Linked DNA regions of Xenopus tropicalis. The main gene of each other region encodes a partner of the protein of the gene in region 2 in a complex. Links are inferred from orthologs where the notes say so. Each region holds a gene or a part of one and is shown on either strand. Other genes may lie near its edges.

Region 1 (5,307 bases), on a different chromosome or scaffold from region 2:
GGTGGCTCAGTTGGGCTGGATAATGGCTCAGTTGGGCAGGATGGTAGCTTGGTTGGGTTGTATGGTGGCTCAGTTGGGCAGGATGGTGGCTTGGTTGGGTTGGATGGTGGCTCAGTTGGGCAGGATGGTGGCTCAGTTGGGCTGGATAATGGCTCAGTTGGGCTTGATAATGGCTCGGTTGGGCAGGATGGTGGCTCAGTTGGGCTTGATAATGGCTCAGCTGGGCAGGATGGTGGCTCAGTTGGGCTGGATGGTGGCTCAGTTGGGCAGGATGGTGGCTCAGTTGGGCAGGGTGGAGGCTCAGTCGGGCAGCATGTTAACACAGCTGTTACAATGGGTGCATGTCAGCTCTGGGGCCCATAAGGCCAGCCTGCAGCCAACTCATAGAACAACCAGAGTTATAAAATGACCCTAAGAATGAGAGAAAGTGGCAGTTACACCCTGTGGCACTGTGGGGGGCAACTTTGCCCGATGTTCAATGACAAATGTGATCAAGTCCAACCAATCGTCAGGCAGCACTTACTGTCTCCTCTTTAAAAGCAAAATCTCATTGGTTACTATGGGTCACTGCACTTGGCAAACATGATGCCTTTTATAACATTCGGGGGGTGATGACTTTTTGGGGCGTTTTTGTTGCCGCTTTGAAGCCCCCACGTCTGCCGTTATAGAACCTTTAGGGACTTTTGGCGTTTTTCTTCCCCCGTTGCAGCCTCTGGATTTCGAGGGGACCCCGTTCAAAAAAGTGGTGATCACCGCCGAGAACGAGGAGCCGCTGTTTTCCTGCCAAAACTCCAAAGTGAAGATCAACTCGTCGCCGGTGTTGGGCAACGTCACCATCAACATCCAAGTGTTGGACAACAACGACGCCCCCGTCTTCAAGCCCCAGAATGTGGCCCTTAGGGAGAAGGAAGGGGTGAAGCCTGGGACTGTCCTACTGAAGCTCAATGCCACCGACCCGGACAGGGTGCCCAACAACATCAGGCAGGTTCTGCTATTCTCTATCATGGAGCCTTCAGGGTTTCAGGAGTCACAACCAGCAGTGCAGGGAACATCAACAGCCGTTGACTCTTTTACTATGCAATTTTGGGTGAAGTTTCCCTTTAAAGGCAGAACCTACTCATGAGGTTATTCAGTTGGGGGGTGTCGTTATGGTGCATAAACACGGTCTGGGCGCCCAGAAGTGAATATAAATGTATAAACCAGTCTACAGATTGAAAGGAACCCTGATGCTCATAGGAACCATTTCCCCACCCCACTAAGGCTCACAGGGTAATGAAGCTCCTCCCTCTCCATTGGGAAGTAATGGATTCTGGGACTTGAAGTCTCTCTGCTTTCTGTAGTGGGTGGAGCACACATTATCTAGAAAGCAGAGAGGCTTAGAGAGCAGCTTTCAAATGGGGGTCACTGACCCCGGCAACCAAAAACCCATTGCTCTGGGAGGCTCCAGTTTCATTGTTATTTTTTTCCAACTTTTTTTTTCTATTCAGCCCCTCCCCCTATTCATATACCAGTCTCTCATTAAAACCACTCCCTGGTTGCTAAGGTAACTTGGACCCTAGCAACCAGATAGCTGTTATAACTCCAGACTGAAGAGCTGCTCTCAGCTCTCCAACTCTCTCCATTGGGAAGTGATTGATTCTGGGACTTGAAGTCTCTCTGCTTTCTGTAGTGGGTGGAGCATGCGTTATCTAGAGAGCAGAGAAGCTTAAAGTCCCAGAATCCATCACTTCCCAATGGAGAGAGTTGGAGAGCTGAGAGCACCTATCTGGTCGCTAGGGTCCAAGTTACCTTAGCAACCAGGGAGTGGTTTTAATGAGAGACCGGTATATGAATAGGGGAGGGGCTGAATAGAAAAAAAAGTTATAAAAAAAAAATAACAATGAAACTGGAGCCTCACAGAGCAATAGGGTTTGGCTGCCAGGGTCAGTGACCCCCATTTGAAAGCTGCAAAGAGTTGCTAGGGTCCAAATTACCTTAGCAACCTGGGAGTGGTTTGGATGAGGGACAGGTATATGAATAGGGGAGGGGCTGAATAGAAGAAAAATGTATAAAAAGTACCAATAACAATAAAACTGGAGCCTCACAGAGCAATAGGGTTTGGCTGCCGGGGTCAGTGACCCCCATTTGAAAGCTGCAAAGAGTCAGAAGAAGGCAAATAATTCAAAAACTATAAGAAATAAATAATGAAGACCAATTGAAAAGTTGCTTAGAATTGTTTATTCTTTGTAGAGATCACTCCTGTCTGTATAATGTGCAGGTTCTACGTAGCGAACGACCCAGCGGGTTGGGTGACAGTTGATGAAAAAACTGGAGTCATAACAACTAAGAAAGAACTTGACCGAGAATCCCCTTATGTTAATAAAACCCTGTATGCTTTTGTGATTCACGGGGTAGATGATGGTAAGTACCGGCTGAACTGCCTCCCCCCGTCCCCCAGGTCTTCTCCTAGCCAGGGAACAGCACAATAAGCTGTACCCCCATACTGTACTGTCTAAGGGAAACACTATGGCACCCCCTACCCATATGTATAAATACAAATATACAGAGAAGGAATGTTCTGGGCACACAATAAGCTGTACCCCCATACTGTACTGTCTAAGGGAAACACTATGGCACCCCCTACCCATATGTATAAATACAAATATACAGAGAGGGAATGTTCTGGGCACACAATAAGCTGTACCCCCATACTGTACTGTCTAAGGGAAACACTATGGCACCCCCTACCCATATGTATAAATACAAATATACAGAGAGGGAATGTTCTGGGCACACAATAAGCTGTACCCCCATACTGTACTGTCTAAGGGAAACACTATGGCACCCCCTACCCATATGTATAAATACAAATATACAGAGAAGGAATGTTCTGGGCACACAATAAGCTGTACCCCCATACTGTACTGTCTAAGGGAAACACTATGGCACCCCCTACCCATATGTATAAATACAAATATACAGAGAAGGAATGTTCTGGGCACACAATAAGCTGTACCCCCATACTGTACTGTCTAAGGGAAACACTATGGCACCTCCTACCCATATGTATAAATACAAATATACAGGGAAGGAATGTTCTGGGCACACAATAAGCTGTACCCCCATACTGTACTGTCTAAGGGAAACACTATGGCACCCCCTACCCATATGTATAAATACAAATATACAGAGAAGGAATGTTCTGGGCACACAATAAGCTGTACCCCCATACTGTACTGTCTAAGGGAAACACTATGGCACCCCCTACCCATATGTATAAATACAAATATACAGACTGAGTGTATTTTCCCCGCAGGAGACCCCCCCCAGACAGGCAGCACGACTGTCTCGCTCTTATTAGCAGACGTCAATGACAACACCCCGTTCCTGCTCTCCCCGTACATGGAAGCATGTGAGCAGCTCCAGGCCTCCTCCGCTCCAGGCCCCCGGTCCTTCTCTGTTCACGCCCACGACAAGGACTTGGACCCGTACTCTGGGCCTTTTCAGTTTGAACTGGCGGATAATTCCCCAGATACAACGGATAACTGGAAAATCGGGAGAACCAATCCGGGTGAGTCTCATGGATCCTGTGGGAAATGTCTGTGGGTTATTTTAGTGGGGGGGGGGTCACTAATACTTTGCACCCTTTCAAAGCCAATATTTATGGATATGGGTAGCGCTACTTTTTCAGCAGTCTGGTCTTGCTTTATGGCAGGGATTAGAGATATACACTGAGTATCAGAGCTAGTGTCCCAGACACCAATATTCTCAGCCAATTTGCAGTTGGTCTTCATTTTTTATTACTTGTAGTTTTTTTAGTTATTTCACTTTTTGTCCAGCAGCTCTGCAGCTGGAAGTTATTTGGTTGCTAGGGTCCAAGTTACCTTAGTAACCAGGGGGTGGTTTTGATGAGAGACGGGTATATGAATAGGAGAGGGGACTGAATAGAAAATAAAGTTACAAAAGTAACAATAACAATAAAACTGAGGGAAAAAAAGGAAAATAATTAAAAAACTATAATAAATAAATAATGAAGACCAATTGAAAATTTGGTTGCTAGGGTCCAAGTTACCTTAGTAACCAGGGGGTGGTTTTGATGAGAGACAGGTATATGAATAGGAGAGGGGACTGAATAGAAAATAAAGTTACAAAAGTAACAATAACAATAAAACTGAGGGAAAAAAGGAAAATAATTGAAAAACTATAACAAATAAATAAAGAAGACCAATTGAAAAGTTGGTCATTCTATAACATACTAAAAGTTAACTTAAAGATGAACATCCCTTGACTTTTAGTAGGTTACAGAATGCCCTATTCCTATCAACTTTGCAATTGGTCTTCATTATTTATTTATTATAGTTTTACTATTATTTTCCTTTCTCTTCTGCCTCTCTGCAGCTTTCAAATGGGGGTCACTGACCCCGGCAGCCAAACAACTAAAATATTATTGTTATTGTTACTTTTTATTCCTTACCTATTTGGTCCCTCTCCTATTCATATTCCTGTCTCTCCTTCACACCACTGCCTGGTTGCCAAGGTAAACAAAACCCTAGCAACCAGATAGCTGCTGAAATTCAAAAGTGGAGTGCGTTGGTGCAATGTTACATTTGTGTTGCTATGGAATCATTGTCCTTCTCTTCCAGATGATTCTGTTGAGCTGGTAATGCTTAGAAACCTCCCAAAGGGCAACTACTCCGTGCCCCTCAATGTATACGACCGGCAGGGCACTTTGGAGGCGCAGACCCTCCATATCCGCATTTGCTCCTGCCCCGACGGGCAAACGTGCGAGAAGCCGCAGCCGCCACAGTATCTCCTGGGCCCGGGGGCCATTGGCATTATATTTCTGGCTCTGCTGCTCTTCCTGGGTAAGTAGAATGTAGGCTAGACTGGTGATGGCAAATGGGTGCTTCTAGTAGTTGATCAGCTCCAGAATCAATGTAGGTTACGCTGGGTGCTGGTGTATGGGTGCTTCTAGAGCTGGGCAACTCCAGAATGCAAGTTAGACAAGACACTGGCGTATGGGAGCTTCTAGCAGATGATCAACTCCAGGATGTAGGCTAGACTTGTGCTGGCAAATGGGTGCTTCTAGTAGTTGATCAACACTAGAATGTAGGTTACGCTGGGTGCTGGCATCTCGGTGCTTCTAGAGCTAGTCATCTCCAGAATGTAGGTTAGACTGGTGCTGGCGTATGGGTGCTTATAGAGCTGGGCATCTCCATAATGCAGGTTAGACAAGACACTGGCGTATGGGTGCTTCTAGTAGTTGATCAACTCCAGAATGTAGGCTGAATTGGTGATGGCAAATGGGTGCTTCTAGTAGTTGATCAA
Region 2 (5,307 bases):
GCTATCCACAGGGGATGTCTTAATATAACTTCATGAACTTTTTTTCACATGAGCGATAAGGGATATCCTTGCAGTAAGCACTAAATATTTGTGCTCCCACCATTCTAGGGGGGGAATGGTCTAAAAAGCTCTTGTGATAACAACATGGGTGTGGTTTAAAAAGGGTAGTGGTTTTTGGAAAGCATTGCCATTATGTCAGTTGTAAGCATCCTGCAGTATGTAACAGTCATCTTGATTTGTTGCTACAAGCAATAGCAATCTGTGCAGGCAAGATAAAATGATACATTATAAATATGCCTATATGCTGGATTATATAGCTCTTTCTATATCTTGTTACAAGACAAAGAGTATACCACCTAAATAATTGAGCTTGAGTACTATTTAAGGTAGTGGTGCAAAGAATAGAAGTACAGCACTCACACCAGGCCTTTGTAGAAGGCAAAAAAATGCTTTATTGTCCAAACCCTTTGGTATCTACTGTGACTTTTTTGTCACTTTTTTTTCTCACATTTTTTTTTCCTATCTTACAAAAGGTTATAAATGCAGCTCTGGCCTTAGCAGCTAAGCCTCATAGCAAAATGGCACAAGAAACAATGGATCTTTTCAAAGAGCAATGGGAAAGACAAGTTAGAGTCCTTACAGATGCTGTTGATGATATTACATCAATCGATGACTTTTTGGCTGTTTCAGGTAAGTTTTCTTTTACTGAACATTTTTGAGTGAAAAGTATTAAGAAACCAAAGGTTTATCATATGACACAGATTCAGATAGGTGGAAGAGTACTTTAAATGTATTTTAAATGTCTCCCTAAATAGTTTGTTTTTTGATAGTTCAACACTAAGTGCATATAATGTAAAAAAAAAAATATATATATATTTACCCTGTATTTCCCTACTGTAAAACATTAATTTCTTGTGAAAATAGGAAGGTAATGTCTATCTTTTTGTTACAGAAAACCACATTCTGGAGGATGTGAATAAATGTGTCATAGCTCTCCAGGAGAAAGATGTTGATGGCTTGGATCGTACAGCTGGAGCTATTCGTGGCCGGGCAGCAAGAGTCATACATGTGGTCACCTCTGAAATGGATAATTATGAACCTGGTGTCTACACTGAAAAAGTTTTAGAAGCTACCAAGCTGCTGTCCAATACAGGTATAAAAAGAATTGAGATGCTTTGTAATGTGACTTGTTGATGTACTTTTTTTTTTTTTTTTTTTTTAATCCAAATCTGTTTCTTCCTGCATTCTGAATAGAATGTTGCCACTTATGGTCAAAAATAAGATATGCATATTGACTCCCAAAGAGCATAAAACACCCAGCATTCAACTGTATCAAACTTTATTGCAAGCTTTTCTGGGCAGGGAACTCCTATCTGCTGTATACTGAAACTCCTAAGTACTTAGGAAATAGAAATATATGTTTTTCAAACACTGTCATTCACTTCAGGCTCTCAGAATTGGCTTGTAAATACTTAGAAATAATACCGGTACAGTGATTTCCAAAAACATATTCCCACATCCTAAATATGAGAACCACGATTTTTTTTTCAAAATTGACTGTTTTCCCGTGGTCCCCTTCTACTGTACATTATACAGCGAGAGGCAGTGGGTCCTGACAACATCCCTTAAGGCTGGATATAAGAAACTTTCCAATATATGTTCAAAAAGAGTTTTAAAGTTATTTGAAAATGTAATTTACACTTTTGAACTTCTGGCTTTGACTCCTATAGACCTAGCAGAGAACAGACTTCAGTTAACGTTGTCAGCATCAGAAAACAAAAGGAAAAAAAAAAACCAACAATGCTTTTTAGTAGCAATTCTATTTAAGGATCTTTTTTTTTTTTTAATTGATATTAGCTACCATATAGCTACCCTTGCAGCAAAGTTAACTTTTACACACCAGTTCTTTTAAATAGTTATTGTCTGTTTGTTTTTTAATTTACCAAATTTTCATTTCGAAAGTACAAAAGTTTTAGGATTGTTTTATCATTAATATGATTTAAAAGGTGCTAATTTCCTTCTGTTGACTTAAGCTACTTAAGTATATCTGTAACTGTTCTTCTAGTTATGCCACGTTTCACGGAGCAAGTTGAAGCTGCAGTTGAGGCCCTTAGCGGTGACACAAATCAGACCATGGATGAAAATGAATTTATTGATGCTTCTCGACTAGTATATGATGGTATAAGGGACATCCGCAAAGCTGTGCTGATGATCAGAGTATGTAATATTTATTGCATTTAATATTCCTTCATCTAATTTGTAAGCTAATACTTATAGGCCCACTTGGAGGCAGATTTATTAATTTGAGGGTTTTTTTTTTTTTTTTTGGAAAAGGTAATCCTTTTTTTGGGGGGGGTTTACTAAAAAAATCTCAAAACTTATGTTGTGAAAAACCAACTCAAACTTAGTGCCCTTCTTTTTCAATGTCTACCAAGTTGAAAATTGATCTCAGAATTGAAATACAGCCTATTGCCTTCTACATGAGCTTGCCAGCTTTTAGATGCTGAATTTTTTTTTTTTGAGTTTTTGAAACTTTTAGTAACCTTTTGAATTGTCATGCTTAATTTGTTTTACACACAAGGCCATATTCTGTTACTGGTCTATGCTAATACTTTAGTGTCAGCTCCCTGACACCTGCATTGCTAAAAATGCTCCCATGCCCCACCTAGTGGTAGATATGAGAATAGCACTTAATAGTAAAAATCCAAGACCGGCTCAGCCAAATTATGATTCCTTCAGATACGAGGAGTAGGAGAAACAGTAGCTTATTTAGAGCAGTTTTAATGTGTTATTGGTTCAAAAATAAAGTTTAAAATGGTAAACATTTGCTATGTGAACAGAGTAATATAATAAAAAATTATACCATAAAAATCATGACAGAATCTCTAACATGCAAAAAGAGCTGGGATTTTGCAGATTGATTTCTCAAGTGGATTTGTTAACTTTGCTTTACAGACTCCAGAAGAACTTGATGATTCTGATTTTGAAACTGAAGACTTTGATGTGCGAAGCAGAACAAGTGTCCAGACTGAAGATGACCAGCTCATTGCTGGACAGAGTGCAAGAGTAAGTATCCATTCTACAAAACACAAAGTCACAGAAGATAAAGTCCATATGAAGGTGTCTGTGAAATCTTGTGTAACTATATTCTTTTCTGATAGAGTAACATAACATTTTATTTACAGAGCGCTTGACATGTAAAAACTAAGAGAACAGGTTATTCCCCACCAGGACTTAAAATCTAATGCAACTGGGGATGAATTGGGCATGTAGTACAACTTTATAGCAAGTTGTAGGATGTAGAAACAGTGTGAACAGCGTTGTAGTTAAAGCTTAGTTTTTACCTTTCCTTATTCTTTATCTAAAAGGCCTATGTAAATATAGCCATAAACACTTACAGACCTGCTGGTAAGTTTTCAGTGAAAAGTAACCCCACATTTCTTTCCATCTATTCTGTATACATGATCTTCAGTATCAGACTTCCTTTACTTAGAAAAAACCTTCAGGGTACAGCACAAGCCTGCTCATTTTGCCACTATCTCCCCCCTCCCCTCTCTCTATTGAAAGCTGTTCCCTGCCTGCATGCTGCTTGCCTGTAAGTGAAGTCAGACCAAGCTAAAATGGCTGCTGCTATCTTGCCGAATAAATATATCATTCTAGATTGCACTATTGTGACTTCTCTATTGGCAATCAAATGCCTGAGTAGCTTTCCTTCCTCTTTAAGATTAAAACCATTCTACAAAGAGGCCGCATATGACATGAAATTTAGTTTTGCACAGTTTAGTATCAGCAAAAATAGACACTACTTACAGTGCCCAATTCTAGGTTATCAATAAACAAGTTAAAAAGCAAAGGACAAATGACACCCCTGTCCACGAGTAACATTGGTACAATTAAAAGTGATACCATTTACCAACTTTTTTTGGCCAGTTCTCTATCCAAGAACAAATTTGTGATACTGTATCAAATGCTCTCCTCCTCATAAGGCTGGTGGCAGATGGGGAGATTAGTTGCCTGCGATCAATCTTTGATACTGCGGACTACTAATCTCCCCAAAATGCCTGCCCACCAACAAGAATGTGGGAAGGCATTTCAGGGAGATTAGTTGTCAGTGGTAGTAAAGATTTACCAAGGGCAACTAAGTGCCCTGTGTGCCACCAGCTGAAAAGGCAGTTAATAGAATTTCATACCCCTGATGTCAAACTAACAAGCCTATATTTTTAAGGCTGGGAACAGGATCCCTTTTTGAATAGAGATTGGCAAAAGTAAGGAAGAGGTTGGTAATCACAGAGCTAAGCTCTCTTAGTACCCTGAAATGATTACTATCTGGTCTTAGACCTTTATCTTCACATGTTCTAGTATCTCTTGAATTTTCTTCTGAGTCACCCATGCATCGATAGTTATTTATATATTTGAATTGGTTCTTTTTAAAAGAAAGCCCTTCATTAGCCAATGAAAACTGTAGTATTCGGGTATTACTCTTTGTTCTGGCTGTTTTAGAGAAATGTTTCCTTCTTTCACATCTCCTTTTAGGCAATCATGGCTCAGCTCCCTCAGGAACAAAAGGCCAAAATTGCAGAACAAGTGGCTAGCTTCCAGGAGGAAAAGAGTAAATTGGATGCTGAGGTGTCGAAATGGGATGACAATGGAAACGACATCATTGTTTTGGCCAAACAGATGTGCATGATTATGATGGAAATGACTGACTTTACTAGGTGAGTTTTCAAGCTGCAATAAATCCGTATGTTGTACATAATGATGGAATGATAGAATATTTTAATGACATTTTGCCAGTGGATAGCTTTTTTGTTAGGAGTCCCTTCCAGATCTTGCATTATTGAATTTCTGAACCTAACAAGAACTAATTCATCTCGAATAACATTGCCTTTAAGGCAATAAGACACTTGCATAATCTGTGACATAAATTGTATTCAGGCTCTGGCAATATTTTATTTTCACAGAGGGAAGGGGCCACTAAAAAACACTTCAGATGTAATTAGTGCAGCTAAGAAAATTGCAGAAGCGGGATCCCGAATGGATAAATTAGGACGAACTATCGCTGATCACGTAAGTATGGTGCTTGCTACTGAATGGTGTGTATAATGGTGAGCATGTAGATAGTGGCTCACTGATAAGGACTGCTGCCTTATAGAACTGGGGGTCCATAATTTTGTTCTGGCCTGTGCACCCCCTGAAGTATTCCCCTCTAGACTTAGTGCCCCAGGTACACACAACGATAGTGGCACACACAGAGGAGATTTTACGCGTGTGGGAAATTTGAAGTACTGCCACCGACATATCTCCTGA

The links.
Region 1: ctnna1 (region 2) and cdh26 share a complex: the UniProt entries of both Homo sapiens proteins name them as parts of the cadherin:catenin adhesion complex. The link is inferred for Xenopus tropicalis from reciprocal best matches to the Homo sapiens genes CTNNA1 and CDH26.

Annotation. Positions count from the first base shown.
Region 1 is NC_030686.2:3,561,728-3,567,034, forward strand, and holds part of cdh26 (cadherin-like protein 26), read left to right. Parts: intron 1-709; coding exon 710-981; intron 982-2,257; coding exon 2,258-2,400; intron 2,401-3,295; coding exon 3,296-3,550; intron 3,551-4,622; coding exon 4,623-4,844; intron 4,845-5,307. UniProt on the Homo sapiens protein: Cadherins are calcium-dependent cell adhesion proteins. They preferentially interact with themselves in a homophilic manner in connecting cells; cadherins may thus contribute to the sorting of heterogeneous cell types.
Region 2 is NC_030679.2:20,007,697-20,013,003, forward strand, and holds part of ctnna1 (catenin alpha-1), read left to right. Parts: intron 1-533; coding exon 534-690; intron 691-952; coding exon 953-1,153; intron 1,154-2,065; coding exon 2,066-2,217; intron 2,218-2,955; coding exon 2,956-3,066; intron 3,067-4,533; coding exon 4,534-4,715; intron 4,716-4,961; coding exon 4,962-5,067; intron 5,068-5,307. UniProt on the Homo sapiens protein: Associates with the cytoplasmic domain of a variety of cadherins. The association of catenins to cadherins produces a complex which is linked to the actin filament network, and which seems to be of primary importance for cadherins cell-adhesion properties.